Linked DNA regions of Saccharomyces cerevisiae S288C. The protein of the gene in region 1 interacts with the protein of each later gene in a biochemical or structural test. Each region holds a gene or a part of one and is shown in the gene's direction. Other genes may lie near its edges.

Evidence for each region.
Region 2: of the proteins of SSK22 (region 1) and AGE1, one has a biochemical effect on the other in vitro, tested with the Saccharomyces cerevisiae proteins (one large-scale study listed by BioGRID).
Region 3: of the proteins of SSK22 (region 1) and SIP4, one has a biochemical effect on the other in vitro, tested with the Saccharomyces cerevisiae proteins (one large-scale study listed by BioGRID).

Annotation. Positions count from the first base shown.
Region 1 is NC_001135.5:239,213-248,529, reverse strand, and holds SSK22 (mitogen-activated protein kinase kinase kinase SSK22), read left to right. Parts: upstream 1-1,946; coding exon 1,947-5,942; downstream 5,943-9,317. Other genes in the region: cystinosin-like protein ERS1, read left to right, coding at 1-497; SOL2 (Sol2p), read right to left, coding at 620-1,567; RSA4 (Rsa4p), read left to right, coding at 6,178-7,725; mitochondrial 54S ribosomal protein mL49 IMG2, read left to right, coding at 7,987-8,427; peptidylprolyl isomerase family protein CPR4, read right to left, coding at 8,519-9,317. UniProt on the Saccharomyces cerevisiae protein: Kinase involved in a signal transduction pathway that is activated by changes in the osmolarity of the extracellular environment. Activates the PBS2 MAP kinase kinase by phosphorylation.
Region 2 is NC_001136.10:1,485,215-1,492,189, reverse strand, and holds AGE1 (GTPase-activating protein AGE1), read left to right. Parts: upstream 1-3,199; coding exon 3,200-4,648; downstream 4,649-6,975. Other genes in the region: RBA50 (Rba50p), read right to left, coding at 1-1,096; SNA2 (Sna2p), read right to left, coding at 1,355-1,594; API2 (Api2p), read right to left, coding at 1,956-2,285; YDR524C-B (uncharacterized protein), read left to right, coding at 2,392-2,592; YDR524W-C (uncharacterized protein), read right to left, coding at 2,698-2,787; putative serine/threonine protein kinase SPS1, read left to right, coding at 5,152-6,624; SPS2 (Sps2p), read left to right, coding at 6,887-6,975. UniProt on the Saccharomyces cerevisiae protein: GTPase-activating protein (GAP) for the ADP ribosylation factors ARF1 and ARF2. May be involved in the endocytic pathway.
Region 3 is NC_001142.9:262,895-270,742, forward strand, and holds SIP4 (Sip4p), read left to right. Parts: upstream 1-3,031; coding exon 3,032-5,521; downstream 5,522-7,848. Other genes in the region: protein kinase activating protein DPB11, read right to left, coding at 1-2,157; ARG3 (ornithine carbamoyltransferase), read left to right, coding at 5,905-6,921; TRL1 (tRNA ligase), read right to left, coding at 7,108-7,848.

The DNA of each region.
Region 1 (9,317 bases):
CCCAGGTGGTAGCTGGAGCGAGAATCTGGCGATTTCCAGGTAAAGGTCACCGCAAGATGAATCCATGGTACCTAAGGATTTTACTCGCATCACTGGCCATTTTTTCACTGCTAACCGTACAATTTATGTACTCCAACTACTGGTACGATTGGCATAACTCAAGAACTCTGGCGTATTGCAACAATTTGTTTTTACTCAAAATATCGATGTCACTAATCAAGTACATCCCACAAGTGACGCATAACTCGACAAGAAAATCTATGGATTGTTTCCCCATTCAGGGTGTGTTTCTAGATGTCACTGGCGGTATCGCCTCGCTGCTCCAATTGATTTGGCAGTTGTCTAACGATCAAGGTTTCAGTCTGGATACGTTCGTGACAAATTTTGGAAAAGTGGGACTGTCAATGGTAACTTTAATATTCAACTTCATCTTTATCATGCAGTGGTTTGTATATCGATCTCGAGGCCATGATCTGGCGTCAGAGTACCCGCTGTAGCACACAAGGAGAAATCTGCATAATTACGCATATATATATATATATATATATACATAAATATACATAAATATATGTATGTATGTATGTATGTGTGTATGTATGTATGTACACACATGCATGGTTTAAATAGACAAACCTTGGTGGAATTTATACTTTTTTTTGGTGACGAGGACGTCCGTAAGAGCATCGTCGTCAACAAACCATGATACACGACCAGCAGCACCTTCGTTGACAATACTGCTAGGTAGGCCCTTTTCAGGCCTTTCCATAATGGTCTTGATGATGGGCGCCTTGGTTGCACCTTCGACAACGAAAGTAACCCTGTGAGAATGGCAGATTACAGGTATAGTCAGCGAAATTCTGGTCGAGGGCCCACTAGGAGCGTTCTCCACGGGCACCACCCATGCAAGTTTCTCACGTAGATTGTCCTGGAAGTTAGGGAAGAGTGATGCGATATGACCATCGGGGGCACAACCAAGCAGGAACAAGTCGAACATCGGAAGTTTGACGGAATCTCTACCGGCAAACCCGCGGATTAGCACCTTTTCATAGTTATCAGCGCATTCTTGCGGGTCGTCAATCAATGACTCGTCAATGTGGTACACCTTCGGAGTTCCATACTTCGCCGTGTCTATCAGGTCCAAAATCTTCCTTTTGGCGCATCCATAATTGCTTTCATTCGAGCTGAAGGGTACAAGTCTCTCGTCTGCAAAGTAAATGTCCCAGTCTCCCCACCGTACATCGTCTCGTTTTAGCAGACCTTCGTGTAGCACTTCGATCAATGACCCACCGGAGAGAGCAATCTTGAACCGTTTCTCCTTTTTGGGCTTACTGCTACCACTGCCACTACCACTGCTACCACTTTTCCCTTCCGCGGCAGATGCTGTGCTTTTGCAAGAGGCCTCTCTCGTCATATCCAGTGCATTCATGCTGATGTTGGGAACAGAGTGTTTCCTCTCGTTCTTTGGAGCCAATGCACCGTCTTGCGCGTGGACTACATGGTCAGCTACGGCCTCTGCCACGTCTGAAAACTCGTGAAACGCGAATATCTTGGGTACCGTCGTAGTCATATTGTCTTGCTGCAAATTGCTTTCTGTTCTAGTCCATACCTACACTGGATATGACGATGATGATGCCACTATTATCATTGAAATTTGTTAGGAAAACCCCTGTAGCGCCCGCCCTATTTAAACCTAATTTCCCCAGGATGTCTAATCACATTTTCTTCATTTTTTGGAAACTAGACCTTAACATATTTCGTATTAACCCTATGTCTCGAATTGAAAATTTCGCGGGTCTTTTCTCTTGCCTTGGTACCTTATGTAAAAAAGCGATGCCAGGAACAATAGGATAAAAATAGCAGCAACAACATACGATAAGAATTGAGGATGCTAAGCTAATGTTGTTTTACTTAGGGTGGCTATAAAAGGTAGTTCCTTGTAGGTGAAAATGATGATGGATATACTGAATACACAGCAACAAAAAGCGGCTGAAGGCGGGAGAGTTCTGGCTCCTCATACCATCTCAAGTAAGCTCGTGAAGAGATTATCAAGTCATTCCAGCCATAAACTATCAAGATCTGATTTGAAAGCATTGGGTGGCTCGGAAACAATAAGCGACGGCCCCAGTCAGCTGACTTTTAAGGACCGATACGTTTTCAATGAATCGCTATACTTGAAAAAGCTAAAAAAGACCGCTTTAGATGACTACTACACGAGGGGCATAAAACTCACTAACCGCTACGAGGAAGACGACGGTGATGACGAAATTATTCGGTTGTCTAATGGCGACAGAATTGATGAAGACCTGCACTCAGGTGTCAAGTTTTTCTCCACTACACCTTATTGCAGGAAAATGAGGTCAGACAGTGATGAACTAGCTTGGAATGAAATTGCGACCGAACGGTTCAAATGGCAGTCAATGCTGGCCAGAGTGCTGAAGGGAGATATTGTTAAAGGTGAAAAGACGAGGATTGCTAACCAAGTCAAGAAACCAGGGTTAAATAAGGAGCTCTCAGATGAGATATGGCTCGAATTGAAGGCATGGCTGAATGGGAGGACCATGCAAGAGATGGAACAGTCGCTTACATATTTAAGAGATAGTTCAGATTCCGTTTTTGAAGAGATAATGAAGTTTCAAATTCCACAGGGCAAGATATTGAGCCTGGATGCACTGGAGGCCATCTTACAAGACCTCATGAACAGATATCACAGCGTTGTCTCTTATTGGCCTAACTTGAAAAAAATGTATAAGGATAAACCAATCACCAATACTGCAGAATTTACCGCTAGAATAGACGTAATGAATTCTTGGCTGAACTTTAAAACGAACTTAACGTTGAGGAGGCAAGAGTTGGACGACTGGATAAACCGTTTCTCACCGATAAGTAGTTCGGATAATTGCCAAGAGGATTTTGATGGTGTGCCCCAATGGAACTGCAAAATGAAGATTCTTGCAGAACAATTGATGAAGGAAAAGAACATCGAGTCTATATTCCAAAAAAAAATTTTCTATCCGCTATCACCTTGGATGTTCAAACTGAAACTACATTTTATAGTCTACAGAGAAACTTTGACAAAGATGAACATAAAATATCCTTATGAAAGGTTAAGATCACTACTGGCGTTCCCCGTCTATTTAATCAAAGAAGTTATTTTGACTAGATTGTCATATGCACGAAAGCTTAAAAATCCAACAATGATGATGATCGATCAAATGATCGATGATTTTAACGCTTTTATTCGACTTTCTGTGCAATTGAAGTACACACTGACAAAATATTGCTCCAATTTGCCGTTCGATGTGGATTTTGACCCGACGTTCGAAAATACTGTAATAGAAGCCATTCGTTATTTATTTTTTCTGTTGAATTTAAAGTTGATTGATTCCAGTAAACAAAATTTCAAAGCACCCGATCTACTCTTGAAATACTGGGATCACCTAAAAAACACCGGTCACTATATTAACGGTGCAGAAACCGTGATTCCAAATGAATTTCTCAAGTTAACTTTGAGACTCGTACATAAATTGCAATTCTATCTTTTGAAACAACAAAACTTCCCACCAACATTTGCTAACGCTTCAGAAGCAGAAAAATGGCTAAGTTCCATTTTCGAAAATTTGGGTGCCATGAAAAGAAAGCTGAACAGGTTCAGCAATATTCTAGTCAAGGCGTTCCAAAATTCTGCTGTTTATCAGATTAATCATAATGCACAACTTGTTAAAAAGTTAAAAGATGCTCACTATTTTTTGGTATACTCCGGTAACACTTTTGAGTCTAGTGGTGTATATATGTTTGCTGCTCCTGAATTATTAGGTTGTGACAATGATACCATCTTAAGAATTTTGCGAAATAAATCCATTGGCTGTGATTTGGTCCCAAAGCTTGACATTGGAAATAATTTGAATGTGTATGATATAACAACAAAAGAAACAGATTTGAACATTCTAGTATCGAAAGGGGAGGATTCCAAAGGAATTCCTTACTACCGAGTAGTAGCAAATTCGTCAAGTGATTTGGACAGGCATGCTCATCAGTCCAAAAAGAAGAATTTTTCAACAGACCCTTTTGATCAGCACCTTGATGAAAAGAACAATGAAGTTTTTGAATTGGAAGTTGCTTTGAGCTCATTGGGTGCACTAGTTGTACTATATCCTGGAGAGCCAGTAGTTTGGGATGGACCAGTATATAAGCTTCCAGGTAACAACCTTTTTGCATCCAACGAAATGGATTTAGGGAAAATTGGTAACCCAAATACGTTGATTTTACTCAATCAAGGTTCTAATTATGCACTGACTTATCAAATCGACAAGTTTAATCAAACGGTAGGTGATTCTGTTTCATTCATAGAGAAACGTTGTTCACTCAATTCAATTGAATCCTCCCTACAAAAAATCAATAAGGCATATTACAAACTTACTTATACAGTATTGAACAACTACAAAGGAATTCTAGGTAGCTTTATGAAGCAATGTCCGGGAAATGAGTTGTTAAATTCGATATTCATGTTTGGAAGGGATTTTGGAAGAAGTTTCCTTAAATATAACGCCTTTAGCTCAAAGAGGAAGTACGTTATCATCTTTCTGATGGTTAAATTAGGAATGAACTGGTTGAAATTCCTTGTTGAAGAGTGTGATCCTACCGATCAGCGAACTTTCCGATGGTGCGTTCTTGCAATGGATTTTGCGATGCAGATGACTAGTGGTTATAATATCCTGGCGCTGAATGTAAAGCAATTTCAAGAACTGAAGGAGAGGGTATCAGTATGTATGTCATTATTAATTTCACATTTCGACGTTATGGGTGCACGAGCCACTGAAGCTGAAAATGGCATGCAACAGGCAAGATTGAATATTGATACTGAAGAGAATATTGATGAAGAGGCCACCCTAGAAATAAACAGCAGGTTGAGACTGGAAGCTATAAAGACGTTGGAAAAGACTATGAAGAGGAATCCCAGGCAAATGGGTAAGGTATTGGATGCTACAGATCAGGGAAACAAATACCTACTATCGCTAGCATCCTCATTATCGAATGTATCAATGAGGTGGCAAAAAAGAAGCTTCATTGGCGGTGGAACATTTGGACAGGTATACTCTGCAATTAATCTGGAAAACGGTGAAATCTTAGCTGTTAAGGAAATAAAGATACACGATACCACAACAATGAAGAAGATTTTTCCCCTGATTAAAGAAGAGATGACCGTATTGGAAATGTTAAACCATCCTAATATTGTCCAGTACTATGGTGTCGAAGTACATCGCGATAAAGTTAACATCTTCATGGAATACTGTGAGGGTGGTTCTTTAGCCTCGTTATTGGATCATGGAAGAATTGAAGATGAAATGGTAACACAAGTGTACACATTCGAACTATTAGAAGGTTTGGCATATTTGCACCAATCTGGCGTGGTGCATCGCGACATTAAACCGGAGAATATCTTGCTGGATTTCAATGGAATCATAAAATATGTGGATTTTGGTACGGCACGTACCGTTGTAGGATCTAGGACTAGAACTGTGCGGAACGCAGCCGTTCAAGATTTTGGAGTAGAAACAAAGTCCCTCAATGAAATGATGGGGACACCGATGTATATGGCTCCAGAGACTATTTCAGGCTCGGCAGTTAAGGGAAAACTTGGAGCGGACGATGTATGGGCATTAGGATGTGTTGTGCTAGAAATGGCCACAGGTAGACGACCTTGGTCTAACTTGGATAATGAATGGGCCATCATGTACCACGTTGCTGCAGGTCGAATACCGCAACTACCCAATAGAGACGAAATGACTGCAGCGGGAAGAGCCTTCTTGGAAAGGTGTTTGGTTCAAGACCCCACTATGAGGGCTACTGCTGTGGAACTACTGATAGACCCTTGGATGATACAAATCCGTGAAATAGCATTTGGCAACTCAGAGAAAGATCAAGTACCTATCCTAAGCTCATAGAGTGGTCAACGTCTAAAAATATGATATACTACGATATATAATGTAATGTAATTCAATAATGGTGATGAAGGCAAGATTTCATTTAGAGCTGTTACCCGAGAAACCGGTGAAAAATTTTAAAATGAAAAAAAAAAAAAAAATGCGATGAGCTTCAAAAAGAGTATCTTTAAAAGACATATATCACAAGATTTTTATATTTGTAACCTCGATAAACACACACTAACACAATATACAGATGTCCACCCTGATTCCTCCACCTTCTAAGAAACAAAAGAAAGAGGCTCAACTTCCCAGAGAAGTAGCTATTATTCCGAAAGATTTACCCAATGTTTCAATCAAGTTCCAAGCTTTAGATACTGGTGACAATGTAGGTGGCGCCCTGAGAGTTCCCGGTGCTATCTCCGAGAAACAGTTAGAAGAACTTTTAAATCAATTGAACGGTACTTCAGACGATCCAGTGCCATATACCTTCAGCTGTACAATTCAAGGTAAGAAGGCCAGTGACCCTGTGAAGACGATTGATATAACAGATAACCTATATTCTTCATTAATAAAACCAGGCTATAACAGTACAGAAGATCAGATCACGCTACTGTATACGCCAAGAGCAGTTTTCAAAGTCAAGCCGGTAACTAGAAGTTCATCAGCCATTGCAGGTCACGGTTCCACAATTTTGTGTTCTGCCTTCGCACCACATACGAGTTCTAGGATGGTAACCGGTGCAGGTGATAATACTGCAAGGATTTGGGACTGTGACACCCAAACGCCAATGCATACTCTAAAGGGTCACTACAATTGGGTTCTCTGCGTTTCCTGGTCCCCCGATGGAGAAGTAATTGCTACGGGATCCATGGACAATACCATAAGATTATGGGACCCAAAAAGCGGTCAGTGTCTAGGTGATGCTCTCAGAGGTCATTCCAAGTGGATCACTTCTTTAAGTTGGGAACCTATACATCTTGTGAAGCCGGGCTCCAAACCAAGATTAGCTTCATCTTCTAAGGATGGTACTATTAAGATTTGGGACACTGTGAGCAGAGTTTGCCAGTATACGATGAGTGGTCACACAAATTCAGTGTCTTGTGTCAAATGGGGCGGCCAAGGTCTATTGTATAGTGGCTCTCACGATAGAACCGTACGTGTATGGGACATCAATTCGCAGGGCAGATGTATCAACATTTTGAAGTCGCATGCGCACTGGGTTAATCACTTATCTTTATCTACAGATTACGCATTGCGCATTGGTGCATTCGATCATACAGGTAAGAAGCCTTCTACACCAGAAGAAGCCCAGAAAAAGGCATTGGAAAATTATGAAAAAATCTGTAAAAAGAATGGAAATTCAGAAGAAATGATGGTTACTGCAAGCGATGATTATACCATGTTTTTATGGAACCCACTAAAATCTACCAAGCCTATAGCAAGAATGACCGGTCACCAAAAATTAGTCAATCATGTGGCGTTCAGCCCTGATGGTAGGTATATTGTCTCAGCGTCTTTTGATAACTCTATCAAACTTTGGGACGGTAGAGATGGTAAGTTTATCTCCACATTTAGAGGGCATGTAGCCAGCGTATACCAGGTTGCGTGGTCATCGGACTGCCGACTACTGGTGTCATGTTCCAAAGATACCACGTTGAAAGTGTGGGATGTAAGAACTAGAAAACTTTCTGTTGACCTCCCTGGTCATAAAGACGAAGTTTATACCGTCGACTGGAGTGTCGACGGTAAAAGAGTGTGTAGTGGTGGGAAAGACAAGATGGTAAGATTGTGGACGCATTGAGTTATGTGCAAAGACAAGTAACATACATGCACATATAAATATTATATAACTGTGATATAGAACTGCATTTTTTTCTTTTTGAATATTAAATATGATGGTGTCGCAAGGTCGATCTATAATGGTCATCGCGTACGAATGGCTTGGTATGAATTTAAAATATGGTACTATAAGCAGTATAGCTCCAGCAAGAAGGAAAACCTTTTGAAAGAAGTGCCCGTTTACCTAAAGCAACTTACTCCAAGGTAGCGTGTGAGCAAAACTATGATCAGTTCGTGTGTTACTAGATGTTTTGGTAGGGGTAAATGCCTTCCAGGGCCTGCCACTGCCTCGATATACCAAACGATAAGATGTATATCCACTAATTCAAATAAAGCTGCTGAGGCGCCAATATTTCCAAAGCTGGAAGACGTGAAGATGCATGAGCTCATAGGAAACAACAATTTTGGTAAAAAGACCTACTACGTGGAGAGAAGCAGGACCGGAAATCTACCGGTGTATTCCGCTTATAAAAATGGAGGTAACAAGATTATCACGGAGATCAGAAAGATTGAAGGAGATGTAATTCAACTAAGAAATGACTTGCAGGAGCAACTGCCTTTCATACCCAAAAAATCATGGTCTGTGGTGATGCAATCGAAAAAAATTATTATCAAGGGCAATGCAGTAGAGGCTGTCAAAAGGGTATTAACCAAGAAATTTTAGGTATCGCTAATGTATAAAAAAATAATTGTCATGTATATATATTAATTAAAATCATAGCCATGTGGTCATCAAGCCATCGAAAAGAAGTTGCTTACTTGTGTCTTAATGAAACCGTATGAGGCTTTTCGTGCATGCCCTTGTAGGCAATGAAACAAAGGCCAAGAACAGTTAAACACATCAAGGCTCTGGAAATTGGGTGGTTTAAATCATAGGCGGTGGTTCCAGTGGAGGTGGTTAAAGGTGTGTAGGCTTTATCGTTACGGAAGATGTTTTCCAAAGTGGAGCCAACAGACACATCGCCATTTCTAAACTTCTCGACTTTTTCTGTGTACGCAGCGTGCAAATCTAAGATGTTACTAATTTTTAAGATTTCTAGAACGAAATACAGGAACCGTAATTCATGCTGAGGCTTTCCATATTCGTCTGTTTCTGTGTATTGAATAGCATCCATTAGTTGATCTAGACCAGAAGTTATTTGACCAAACACGACACTTTTGCCATCCAATTCCTCATTTCCATCGGCTTTAGTGGTGATGATGAATTCCGAGGTGTTAGAATCAGGTCCAAAATAGGCCATTGCGAGTCTTTCAGGCCTGTCATGTTTTAAGTAAAAGTTTTCGTCATCAAATTTGGGCCCATAGACGGTGAAAGGACCCACATCTGGGGCAACCACACCACCCTGGATATACTTGTTAGGGTAAACCTTGTTGATTTTGGTCTTACGGTACGAGTAAGTATGTATATCATTGGGATCTTTCCCTTCGATAACTGCCTTAACACCATGGGCCAGCATAGCAAAGTTGTTCACAGTTTTGGGCACGACAGTACCGTACAACTCAAAAGTCAGATCCGCCTCTTTCATCGACTTCGAAACGGGATCAAAGTATTCG
Region 2 (6,975 bases), on another chromosome or scaffold:
GCACTAGCTGGTAGTAGCTTTTTTGGCCTAGCTTATAAAGTATTCTCCCCAAAGTTTGTATAGCAATGCACCTTTGAGAAGGAAAAGTGGATCTTGCTAAATGTTCTAACTCCACTATGGTGTAACCGGCGAGTTCAGGCGAGTCGCTGTGATGGTGCAACCCTGAGTGAATGGTAGAGTCTATTTGTCTTGTGGGTGGAACAAGGTCGCCATTAAAGTCAAACCTACATTCAGATACGTCTTCAATGATGTAATTCTTGTCTGTTTTTTGCTGAACCGGTTGCATCCATTTTAATTTGTCGACCTCTTTGGGCAAATCAGGGAAGTATTTTTCGTGTAATTTATCGTTGAAATTAGGATCATTTATATCAAGTTTCTCTAAATTGATTTCATTTTGGCTCTCCTCTTTGATAAAATGAACGTCTTTGAATAGCTCTTCATTTTTCATATGATCAATGCATTGTGCCATCTGGAAATCTAAGGGTGCGATATCATCGACGTCATCATTAGTTTTTGCTTCTTCTTCCACGTCTTTTTCTTTTCCTGCTTCTTCAAATTGAACATGTTTTGCATCTTTGCCTAACATAGGCCTAATTTCTAAGGCAACGTCTACATCTTCATCGTCTAACGGTGGTAGATCGTATATGCCTTGCTTGTTGCCACCTACCCAGGTACCAGAAGCGCCTTCTATTTCTGCAAATAATGGAGTGTTGTTTTCGTCCTTCGCTCTTTTATTTATGTTTTTCAATAGCTTGGCAATCAGTTTGGGATCTAAAGAGTTATACAGATCCTCACGTTCTTGCACGATTTGTTCATCACTCATTCCCTGCAGAACTTTAATATTTTCATTATGGATAGATTTTGCCTCGGATAGTGGGGCGTCTGTACTCGTTTGTTGCTTTTCAGCATCCTTGCCACTAGTTTTTTTCTTTTGGGCTCTTTTTTCTCTTAGTCTTTCCTTCCAAGATGATATTTTCTTGGGTTTGTACAACTCGGGAAATCCCGTTCCACAGTTGTTGGTACTAAGAGTGCCATTGTCATTACTTTCAACAGAGTCAGATGTATCTTTCTCCACTATATCGCCCAGTAAGTCCATTACGATGGTGGCAGAGTGATTTATCTTCTTTGAATGAGGGAAAATGAATATATTAAACTATAGATTTACTTAGCCGACAGCGATGAGATGGCTTGCCATTACATTATTATTCATTTCAGGTACATAGAAGTACCGAAAAATGAAAAAGAAAAAATAAAATAGAAAAAAAAGAAAGAAATGAAAAAAAAAGGGTAGCAAAAGAGCCACACATCACTTATTACGAAATTCTGCGGAGGAGGATAACGTAGAAAGAGTCACTCATGCTAAACTACCATAGTTATCATCCGAGGAGGAGAGGTGTGAGTACCGGGCCTCGTTCTCCTCATATGGATGACAGCTGATCACGTACAAAGCATGGATCAGACCAGGGAAAAACCCTAGTAAAAATAACAGAAAGTTAATGAGCAGATCCTTGGTAAAAAAACCTCTTTTTAGCCAGACTGCTAAGGGAGGAATGAAAATTGCAATAAAAACTAAAAACCAGTCGCGGGCGTGCATAGTGTAATTCTAAAGTTGTATGTTCTCTAATACGATGACTGGTACTTGCAAAATGCTTATTCGAGGACTAACTAAGATCGATCAGTAAAGATCTCTTGTCAATCAAACCTTTCTCGCACAATAGGAGACAGGAAAAGGGGAAAGAAAGTCGAAAAAGTGCGGGTTCCGGTACATGGATTATATCGCCCCGGGACAATGCGCGTTGCCCCTCACCGGCCCGGAATATACGCGTGGTTGCGCTCTTTCGTTACCCGCGACTGTTTTGGCGCCCCATTCATGCTACGCGGATCTGGACCTGCTTATTTCCCGAGAATACGTCCCGAAAAAGTAATGCAGTTTCCGAAATGGGCGCGGTAAGGGCCTAGGCCCAACGTTGGGCCTTTTTCAGTTCCAAAAAAACGACTCGTTGGGAGCCGTGCGGTCCCGTCTTCGGGCGTGATTGGCCGCTTTGGCCGCTTCTGGGCGTAGGACGCCAAAGTTTATTTCCAAAATAGCGAAGACCAGAGCCACGCCTTTTCTTTTTGCAAGCGGAATATCCGCTTGAGAAATGAGAAAAAGAAAGCAGAAAAAAAATCATCGCTTTTTTCACGTTTGTTACATGAGATATGGTGCTGTGTGTCATCGCGGTGGTTTTCCTGGCTTTTCTCCTCATATATAAGGAACTCGAGAAATTCTTGATTTTCTTTTCCATCTTCTCCTACTGTATTATTTACTTTATTAGTTAATATTGTTTTTGATTTTAGAGGAAAATCATCATTAAACATAAGTTTCAATCAACACTAATCATCAACAAAACAATGCAATTCAAGACCATCGTCGCTGCCTTCGCTACTGTTGCCGCTGTCCAAGCTGCTAACGTTTCTACCAATGGTTCCAACCGTACCAACGGTTCCAACACCACCAGCACCAAGATCTCCACTGGTGCTGCTGCTTCCAACGCTTTGGGTGCTGGTGTCTTCGGTGCTGCCGTCGCTGCCGGTGTCGCTTTCTTATTCTAAGTTCTTTAATTTTGAGTTTAGAGACATTATACTCCTATAATATCGAAAAAATTTTTTTATTATCGCTACACAATCAAGTTTTTATGTGCTTTTTTAATAATATTATTATAGAACAAGAAGAAAGACCGCTCTTTCCTTGAAGGGACCAAAGAAGGAAAAAAAATATGTTGGAAGGGTTTTATATGATCTTTTCATGTTCGTTCACTTGTAATGGAATATTAGTTAGAAGATGTAAATAACTTATCTGTTTATTTTTATTTCCTCTCTATAATTATTACCTGTATTAATTCATTATCTAATATAAAATCTAATCTAATAATAGAATTTTCTGATGTTTATCTTTTTTTTTGTCGTATTCTCGGCGAATTAATCGCGGAAAATTTCATATCGAATTTTAAAGGAATGTCATTTTGAACGCTAAAGTATTATTTATTCTCGTCCGATGTTGGTTTTTTTTCCTATCGCTGTCGTTATAATAGTACTTGACGAAGAGAGAAGAAAAGTAAAAATTTGAGCGAAAAAGAGGATAAAAATCACATTGAGGCAGAGTGGTTAAGGTAGCTGTACCAGTCATTTTGAATACATTTTTCTGGATGTTCCATCAATAATGGATTTTTATACTACTGATATCAACAAAAATGTTGTGCCTTTGTTCAGTAAAGGAACAGTAGCAAGAACAGCATCAAAAGCACAGTATCCATCATGGTGCAACAACGCGTTAAAGTTAACTAATATTCTTCTTAAATCTCTTCGATGTAAATTTCAAACGAACCGCTGCGAGGATGATCGAGGTTTTGAGGTATATTGTGTTATTTTAAAAAGCATCGCTTTATTAATGGCCGCGAAAGAATCATTGATATTACTACAAATACCTCCTTCTTTACCATCAGGATTTCCATTTCGTTCACCCCAACTGTCATTTACATATTTATCAACCCGTCTTAGTGGGAGCCAACACAAATCTACGCATTCTCATCACATCAATCATCAAACTCATCCCATTCATAGTAGCAGTAGCAACAGTAATAGTAATAACCGTATTCCTACAAAAACAGATTCCTCCAAACAGCATACACAGCATTTCTCTTTTGCTAATGCGGGAGCCTCCAATAGAGACGAACTGCTATCAATCGTGCGCAAAATTGATAAATCTAATTTGAAGTGTTGTGACTGCGGTAGCACCGCAACAGTAGAATGGGTGTCAATCAATTTATTGTGTATATTGTGTATCAAATGTTCGGGCGTTCATCGATCTCTGGGTTCACATATCTCCAAAATTAGATCTTTAACGCTGGATAATTTCACCTCGTTAGAGTTGATGCATCTTTTACAAAATAATGTTTCCAATAGTAATGTTAATGCCATTTATGAAAGCAATCTCAGGAACTTTCCAGTTAAAAAAATAACTGCAAATTCTGATGACTCGGAAAGATCCAAATTCATTATTGATAAGTATCAATTTAAAAAGTTTGTTATCGACAGCAACCAAGGCAGAGAGGCTTCTTTGAAGTCTTTAATTAAAGCTATCCATTTAGATAGTGTTTTCATGATGCAAAGAGCCATCGCCCAAAGTAAATATTCCCTAAGAGAATTGACGGCAAGCGAAAAAGAGCAGAATGATCTAAACCATTCTTCCATTTTTCAATATTCCCTAAAGCACTATGAAATTGTTGATGGAACGCCCATTTTTTTTATTACAGAATTTTTATTGTGCAATGGTATTCATATAGATAATTTACCGAAGATTACTACGAATTGGTCTCCAAAGGTTTTAGAATATTGGGAAACTAAGTTGGAGATGTACGGAACATTCCAAGCTGTAAATACTTCTCGTCCAAGATCAGGGCCGCATTTAAATATGCATTCAAATGTAGATTCAGCTTCGTCCTACAATAAGAAACACGATTTGAGAGTTAACATACCTGAAAGAAGTGCCTCAGCAAGTAAAAGGTGGAGTTTGAGCTCCATTCCTAAGTCTTCTCAAAATTTGATGTCCCCAACAAACTTATTAACAATGCATAAGTCTTTAAAATTGGCCAAAAAGGACAAAAAATAACATATATGATAATTTAACTGTATTTTTTTCCCTTTTCTAATACTTTTTCCTCAAGTTATATTTCGGAGCTGTCCCAGGTTCGGAACAATGCGGCATCAGGGATAAAAAAAAATGACACATAAAAACGAAAAAGACACAAATTCCATTTTTTTTTTTTGACGCGAAAGAATGACACTACTTTCTTCTATTGTAACCATTTCTAACATCGATATTTTACTTGTTAGTTCAGATATATACTAAAGAGTCACTTAATATACTGTTTTTGTTTATTATCTTGGTTCCAACTGCTTCATTTAATATTTCCTATCCAAAAAAAGCCAGCTAATTCTCTTCTTTTTTTTTCTTATTTTGCCATTTTCAATATTATCGATTTAGTGAACACCTGGCTAGTCAGTTGTCTTAGCAAACATTTCTCAAAAGAAAGCAAACCAGCATTTGCTTTTTAAATTTAGTTTTTTTACTAGCTAATTCATTTACTAAACAACAAAAGAAAATAGCACAAAATGGAAAGCAAAGAAATATCAATTAGGTCAAGAACCCCTCCATCGAAGCTATATTCCATCCAATCATGTATTGGCAGAGGTAACTTTGGTGATGTGTATAAAGCAGTGGATAGAGTTACGCAAGAAATTGTGGCAATTAAGGTGGTCAACCTGGAGCATTCCGACGAAGACATTGAACTGTTAGCACAGGAAATTTTTTTTCTGGCGGAATTGAAATCTCCTCTTATTACAAACTATATTGCAACAATGTTAGAAGATGTCTCTATGTGGATTGTCATGGAATATTGCGGCGGTGGATCATGTTCAGATTTACTGAAGCGAAGTTACGTCAACGGTTTGCCTGAAGAAAAAGTTTCCTTCATTATTCATGAAGTCACCTTGGGTTTGAAATACCTGCATGAGCAAAGGAAAATTCATCGTGATATCAAAGCAGCTAATATTTTACTAAATGAAGAAGGTATGGTTAAGTTGGGTGATTTCGGAGTAAGTGGCCACATTCGTTCCACTTTGAAAAGGGACACTTTTGTAGGAACGCCGTATTGGATGGCTCCGGAAGTTGTTTGCTGCGAAGTTGATGGGTATAATGAGAAAGCAGATATATGGTCCTTGGGTATCACCACCTATGAGTTACTCAAGGGCTTACCCCCATTATCTAAATATGATCCTATGAAAGTTATGACTAACTTACCAAAAAGGAAGCCTCCAAAATTACAAGGTCCCTTTTCGGATGCAGCAAAGGATTTCGTAGCTGGTTGTCTTGTTAAAACACCTGCTGATCGGCCATCGGCATATAACTTGTTATCATTTGAATTTGTTAAGAATATCACCATAACGAACTTGAAAAGTGATGTTGATCTAATTAAACAGAAAAAGGTTCAGGAGAGATATACAAAAGTTCCCAAATACCCTCTTCAAAATCGCTTGTATAAAAACAGCAACACAGTGAGGGGAAAGGAATTTTGGAATTTTGAATCGACAAGACTAAGCACAACACAAATTTCCAAAGAGGAATTATCTCCCATTACACAAGACTCTCCAACATCATCTTTAAATATGGAAAGTCCTTATTTACTTCATGGGCAAACTGTAACGCCGATAACCAACCCAAGTTCTTCATCATTTAGAAAATGTACGCAACCAGTTTTCGAGCTTGATTCAGGAATGGATATAGATTCAGGCTGCCCAAATGCTCAAGCAGAGACCGAAATAGTTCCTCTCTCTAATCATAATAAGAAGCATAAAAAGAACGATATTCAGGCGTTGAAGATAGAAAAGTTTGACTACTTGAAAAACATTGTATCTCATATTCTCAACAGAATGTATGATCGTGCGCGCGACGATGAAACAAGAAAATACGTAAATGAAATGTTAAAGCAATTCATTAAAACTGAGGCAAACGTTCCTGGATTTAATGAGGTTTTTATAGAAGAGATCTCACTAAGAATTGAAGCAATAAAGAAAGGATTCGTTTAAAAAAATAGATATATATATATAATGTGTGTATATGCATGAGTTTTTGTTTTCCATTCTCTTTCATCTTCAATAAATGAAGGATGGATATATTGAATTATATAACAAACAGTAAAAAGTCATGTGTTTTTGATTATTTACCTGCTTATTTCTCCCTTTTTTTTTCGATTCTTTTTTTCTGATCGAGCGTTTATGTCTTTACTGTCCCGTCATTGATGCGTCTCAAAAAAAATATTTTGTGGCATTACTTAGACTATAAAAGAAAATGCCAATTTGGAAAACACAAACATTCTTCACTAGTATTTCTGTTATTCAAATAGTCAATAAAGAAACCAAAGTTTCTACAAAAAAAGA
Region 3 (7,848 bases), on another chromosome or scaffold:
TGGATTAGAAATTGCAGTCGGCTGCTCTGTAGGCACATTTTCTGACATTATTGTGCCCCAACTCGTGGTTCGTTTAATTTGTTTAGGAACGAAATTTTTTGGCAGTGACTCCAACTTGATCCTTTTCGTATCCGGCATTTGTCTCTCTGAAGAAACATCCATGATACTCGATGAGACACTACGCTTTTTTCTTCCAGAATCAGTTTCTCTAATTTTCTGCAATAATTCGTTTTTGGTATCTTTCATAGAGTGCTCCGATAATGAGGAATTGTTTCTTTTCAAAAGAATAGTTTTGTCGATTTTTGGATCATTGTTTTGGTACTTTTTTTCTGAACTAATGCTGGTATAGTATGGTTTTTTTATCTTACATTTAAAATCGTCCTTGTGTCCTCTTGGGCAGATAATACACCACTTGATATTGTTTAAAAAGATTTCATTATTTTCTCCAGATGCAGCGGACAATAATTTAAAAATAAATGCTGGAGTAACTACCGGTATGGAGTGGAATTTCTTGATATATTCAATTTTCCTTTTCATCGAATTTCTCAAGATTGAATTATTTTGAAAATCTTTTCTGTTATTATCACCAGGATCATCATTATTGTTATTAATGCAAAACTGAGTAAAAAGATCGCTAAATTCATTCGACCATAACGGATGGGTTTTCGGGATACTGGGTAAAGCTGCTAAGTTGATTAGCAGAATGTCAGTGGATTTATTGAGGTATTCTACATAATTGATGCCCATTGGTTTTAGAAGATTTAATACTTTAGTCAGATGTAACAGCTCTACGCCAGAGAATCCAGTGATAGTAACATTCAGAAAAGGGGAAGAAGAAAATTCATGATGCAATAACTTTGAAGAAGACGAAACTTGAAACTCTATTGTGCTGAGGAAGGGTTTTGACCATAAATCTATTGGGTGTAGTAATTTTTGATAATACAAGCAGCGTTCAATGAAAAATTCTGTAACTATACCATCATTATCATCTATAATCTCAGGTAAATCATTGAAGGAGTCAAGAGCTTTATTACTTGGAATGATGTAATAAGAATGATCGTAAATGCCGCTCAAGTAAGACGTCTCAATTTTACCCCCATTTTGAACAACAATTTTGGTTAGTATTGAACGGTGATTGCCAGGAAAAATATGATGAATGATAAACGCACAATTTTTGAAAATCAAAGTACTATTATCACTTAAATCTTCTTGTTTGTTATTTATCGATAATGGTGACTGCCCTAGTACTGAAAAATTTGTCTTACTATGCTGCTGTAGAGACATTGCCTTGTCCCATATTTTTTCACCCTTTGGTTTAAATTTATTCAAGAGGGATGATGTTTTCGGGAGCGAAGGAGTCAGGGTACTGGAGGATTGCTGCCGCTGCAGAGAGGATTGGGCATCGATATTGGTTGGAAAGGTGGTGTTTATTTTATCCCAGCAATCGCAAGAGTTTGATCCGATTGAATCATAGGGCAGGTCTTTAATATTTGGTAAAAGATAATAGGGATCGTACGGTAACAGTGCGCTTCTTTTTTGGCAATCGAGAATCCATTTGAAATGTACAATAGGTATATTTTGTTCAATAGCAGCGTTAACTCTTGCTCCTAGTAAAGTATCCGTAACAAAAATGGATATCTGCCCATTCTGACCTTGATCATCGTCATCATTGTGTGAAGAGGTATCTTTGATTACAAAGTTTTGATAGTTATAACTAGAACACCCTAACTTTTTAATACTCCTAACCAATGAATCGATGGAAGTTATGTTAGTGTCGGTTATTCTGCCAATGAAGATATTGAAGTTATGCAAATATTTAAACGAAAATCGCCGGTAAAGTATCTTCAGCATCTCATAGGTGGATCCTGTCATTGTTGCCGTATTAGAGTCCGGCAATATATTTTCTCCAGACAGCCAGAGCTGATAAATGTCATCAATGGCTTGAATGTCAATAAATATGATATCGAATCTATGCTTCACCGCAAATTTAAATTTGTTTGTATTGGTGGTGGACCCAACAACAAGGACATTAACTTGTCTGGTCAAATCTTTAGAAAATATACCTCCTAACTTAATAATTTTCTTTGATATTTTTTTAGCTAAGATTTCATTATTTATTGCAGTCGGACAAAATGTTATTCCTTGAAAGGGCTTCATAGTAATATTAATGCTACTGATAAAATACCTGCCATACTAGAAATAGAAGACTTATATATCACGTAAAATTTGTCTCTTCTTATTCATCATGTACATAAAACAGTACAAACATTACCAATAGTACTATATAGCTTTACCAGGCAATACGCGAATAGTCCATGCAGTTTTTCTTCTCTTATACTGATGAGGGTAAGTTTTGCATTTGATCACCGCCGTATGCGAAGCGGAAAGAGCAAATGCGTTGAAAGAAACCTGGCGACAATAGGAACCACGAGTTCAAGCTAATAATGATACCTCAATGATTATGCCCAGATTACGTTATGTGACTAAAGTAGAAAGGTGAATAAATATAAGTAACGAAACAAGGTTACATGGACTCTTCAATTAAAGAAGGAAAAGGAAGGATTCTTTTGCAGGCAGAAAACATTGAAGTTATATCGCAACAATAACGATGTAGTTATTATGACCTCATAATATGAGAACTTTTTCCTCAAGTATTTTTAAGTTATTCTGTGTGTCATGACTCTCACTTCGTCATATTTTATGTTAGTGCACAAAATGCGAGGTGTGGGTGCAATCAAGACTCCGATCCATTTTCGCCGTTCGACCGGTGTTTTGGCGGCTAAATTTAAGGGCGTGATCTCAGAACTCGGCGGCAAAAAAAAAAGTATATAAGGCAGAAAGCTTTCTGCCTCTCCGATTTCCTCTCCTTTGTTTTCTTTTCCGCTTCAATTTACAATCTAGTTCAGCGGCTAATCCTCTTTACCATTGTTTTCCGTTTATCCTTTGCTCATTCTCCTTTGCTCGATTTCTTTTGCTCGTTTTTTTTTTTTTTTTTTGCTTCTTTTTTTCTTCTCGCTACTCTGAATAGACGATGGCCAAGAGGAAATATGGCAGGTCTTATTCCCTCGATGATACAGATTCCTGCAGCAATAAAGTCCTGATAGTACCAACCGGTCAAAGCTCCTCTAACGCAATCACTGATTTCTCTGTCAGAAAGGCGCATGCTTGCGATAGATGCAGACTGAAAAAAATCAAGTGTGACGGTTTAAAACCGAACTGTTCAAACTGTGCGAAAATTGACTTCCCTTGCAAAACCTCGGATAAACTGTCGAGGAGAGGTCTTCCAAAGGGGTATACAGAACTACTAGAAAAAGAGGTCGTCCGTTTGACAAATATGAATGCGAGTTCCAGCGCCAATGCAAATTCTAATTTGCCGTTCATTAATGATACATTTTATTGTTTTGATAATTACAACACTCAGTCTGAAAATCAAAGGTTTTTGGGACATTTGACATGGAATATTCTAACTAATACTTTTCCTACTCAAAAAGCAGTAGTTTTTACAGACGATCGAAATAATATTGATCTACAACTGCAACTGTTAACAAATTTTTTGAACCTGAATGGTGACTTTAATCATCTCCCAAATTTTCTTTTACTTAAATATGATTATAACCTTCAGTTTTTGAAAAATTTGTTGTCTGTCATTATTAAAGATTTTTTTAAAAGGCAAAATTCTTTGCTACTTCTATTATACCCTACAAATTTATGGAAAAATTTGCTATTAGACAAGATTAATTCAACCGCAATGACAGGTGAACCCATAACTCTACTGGCGTTACTTTATATTATTCAATTTACTTGGTCTTGTTTTGATGATTTCAAGCTTTTTAAAGTCACGAAGCTTATTGTTTCTCTGACAACAAACAGCAAATTAGACTTGAAAGTTTTGCAATTGGTTAACTTATCCATCTTTTATTTTATGGGCGCCTCTGTTGACTCTTGTAAAAGTAAAAGCTCGTTAACAGAACATTCAAATGTAAATTCAGTAATATGGACCAATGATTTGCTAAACCTAAACTTTACAAATATTTTGAATATGGGATTGTACATAAATCCCAAAAATTTAATTCCTATATCAGGCAACAATAATAATAATAAATCTAATGAAGAGGATGATAGAATAGTGACATTTTGGTGCTTTCAATTCTTAAGCTCATGGTGGTCCTTAATTCAAGGTTTACCAAAGTCCAACTTTTTAACTGAAGAATTTCAACCGAAATCAATCTCGGTTCTAGAAATCCCCAGGCTGAAGCCCTTTGAAATTTTGTTAAACTTCATCATATATTCTTTGGATGGATGTAATTTGTTGAATATCTCATCTTTAAATGTTTCGGACCCAAATTTCCAATTTTTCCAGAATGAACTGGAAAGCTTTAAAAAAAATTTATTACTGTGGAACCTTTATCACAATTTGAGTGATCACGATAACTTCCGATTCTTAACATCCAGTTCAAATAAAAAACTAACAACAAATTTACTACTTAAGAATTTGACGGGTCTAAATCACAAACTCAATCAACCTGATTTTGTGGAGATTCAATTAACTTTATTTTACTTGAGTTTAAAATTAATGACTTTAAAGGAAGGGGACCAAGATTTGAAGAAAGAGGATATCTCGTTAGAGATATTGTCCCTATATTTTTTAATTCTTACAGATGACTCTAATAATGATGATAATCAACAGTTACAACCACAGCAACTAAATCTCTACCATTTTACGCCCTTCAATAGTATTGACATTATTGACTTATGTTTAAACAATTTAAACAATTGGTCATTATCACTTAAATACGAAAGTGGTCAAAACCAGCCCCACTCAAGTAAAATAAAGTTTGAAAAATTTCAAAACTTTTTAAATCACTGGTGTCCAATATGGTACTATGATGAATTTTCCACAAACCCTTTTTTACAAATCCTCAAAATCAATTTCAAATTACTTCCTTTTGAGACAATCCATTACTCACAAGAAGAGCAACGATTGTTAATAAGTTTGAATAAATTGAGATATTTGGATGCCGTATCGAGCTTTAATTCAAGTTCAGTCAAGTCGAATTTCGCGTCTAAGGTCAATACCCAGCTAAACCTTTTGCAACACTCGAGTTCTAACTCCAATTTCCTAGATGCGTCACCATACGATTTTAATAAAATTTTTATGAACAACTTTGAAAACTATGACTACGAAACAGATGAAGGATATGCGGAAGATGATGATGAAGAGGATAGTGACAGTGACAATAGCTTACCACTAGAAATTCCTTTTAAAAAAAGTAAAAATAAATGCAAGAATAGGAATAAAGAGCTTTCACAAAGGTTATCCCTATTTGAAAACAGAGATAGCAATTCGGTAGATTTCAACACAGATACAAATTTAAATTTAAACCCTGATTCGCCATCAGTTACGTCTTCTAAGAAAAAATATTTAGATCATATTATTTTAGATAACCGAGACATCGTTAGCAACCATGACTCCAGTAAACAAAAATTCAAGATCCAGAATATTTTGAACTCGACCTTCTAACATTACGCTCCTTCGTATTACTCATTCAGCTCTTCCTCTGATAGCAGTGAATTTTCGAGGGTCACGTCGTGACTCATATGCTTTCTTGTTCCGTTTCGTTTCGAGATGACAAAAAACTGGTCATTTTTTCCGTTAAGTGCAACTCACAGCAGTATCGGCCGCTGAGAAATGCCCGGACAAATTTTTTTGAGCCGGATTGGTCACCGTTTCTTTCTTCGGCGCGGCTTCCCATTCCCGTCCATCCAAAAAAATCTACCTATATAAATCGACTTTTCACCTCTAAAGGCAGTTTATTCCTTGTATGTCCTTTAAGTACAGTTAATAACGAGCAATTTTTTTTTTTTTTTTTAGCCATCTACCCATCAACTTGTACACTCGTTACCATGTCAACCACAGCATCCACGCCTTCATCTTTACGTCATTTGATTTCTATAAAAGATCTTTCTGATGAAGAATTCAGAATCTTAGTACAAAGAGCTCAACATTTCAAGAATGTTTTTAAAGCAAATAAAACGAATGATTTCCAATCCAACCATCTGAAACTATTGGGTAGAACTATAGCCTTAATATTTACTAAAAGATCAACTAGAACGAGAATTTCGACCGAAGGTGCAGCCACCTTCTTTGGTGCCCAACCGATGTTTTTAGGTAAAGAGGATATTCAGCTTGGTGTCAATGAATCATTTTACGATACCACCAAGGTTGTATCATCTATGGTTTCATGTATTTTTGCCCGTGTGAACAAACATGAAGACATACTTGCTTTTTGCAAGGATTCCTCTGTACCGATCATCAACTCTCTATGTGACAAATTCCACCCTTTGCAAGCAATTTGTGATCTTTTAACAATAATCGAAAACTTCAATATATCTCTAGATGAAGTAAATAAGGGAATCAATTCAAAATTGAAGATGGCATGGATTGGTGATGCCAATAATGTCATAAATGATATGTGCATCGCATGTCTGAAATTCGGTATAAGTGTCAGTATTTCCACTCCCCCCGGTATTGAAATGGATTCCGATATTGTCGATGAAGCAAAGAAAGTTGCTGAGAGAAACGGTGCGACATTTGAATTAACACACGACTCTTTAAAGGCCTCCACCAATGCCAATATATTAGTAACCGATACTTTCGTTTCCATGGGTGAAGAATTTGCGAAACAGGCCAAGCTGAAACAATTCAAAGGTTTTCAAATCAATCAAGAACTTGTCTCTGTGGCTGATCCAAACTACAAATTTATGCATTGTCTGCCAAGACATCAAGAAGAAGTTAGTGATGATGTCTTTTATGGAGAGCATTCCATAGTCTTTGAAGAAGCAGAAAACAGATTATATGCAGCTATGTCTGCCATTGATATCTTTGTTAATAATAAAGGTAATTTCAAGGACTTGAAATAATCCTTCTTTCGTGTTCTTAATAACTAATATATAAATACAGATATAGATGCATGAATAATGATATACATTGATTATTTTGCAATGTCAATTAAAAAAAAAAAATGTTAGTAAAACTATGTTACATTCCAAGCAAATAAAGCACTTGGTTAAACGAAATTAACGTTTTTAAGACAGCCAGACCGCGGTCTAAAAATTTAAATATACACTGCCAACAAATTCCTTCGAGTTGTCCAATTTCACCACTTTTATATTTTCATCAACTTCAGCAGATTCAACCTTCTCACATAGAACATTGGAATAAACAGCCTTAACACCACTTTCAAGTTTGCACAGCGTAATATGAGGAATTTTGTTTTGACAACACAACCCTTTAATTTTCTCATTGTTTTCATCAATTATGCATCCATCTTTATCTTTAGACAGTTCCACTACAATAGCAATGATTTTTTCATCCCAACATAGTTTTTCGAGCCTAAAATTCAGTTTGTCGGTCGTTTTTACCTGCGTATTTTGGTTATTACCAGAGCCTTGTGCATTTTCTATGCGGTTGTTATTGTACTCCGTTATCTGGTCAGTGTATCTGTTACAATATGATTTCCACAACTTTTTTGCCTCTTTTTCACGGGACGACATGACATGACCTAATGTTATATGAAGTTCCTTCTGAACTTTTCCACTAGCTAGTAAATGCTTGAATTTCTCAGTCAGCTCTGCATCGCTAGCAATACACCTCTTGACCAATTCAATAATTTCATCGTAGTTTTCTATTTTAGCTGAGATATATGTAGGTTTAATTAACTTAGGCGTTTTTTGTTGATTATTGTTGCCTTTACCAACTATTTTTCTCACAGTAGGTTTGTAATCTAAGCTCCTTCTGAACGCTGTCTCAATTTCATCATCTTTCGGGATCTCTGGTACCAAAATTGG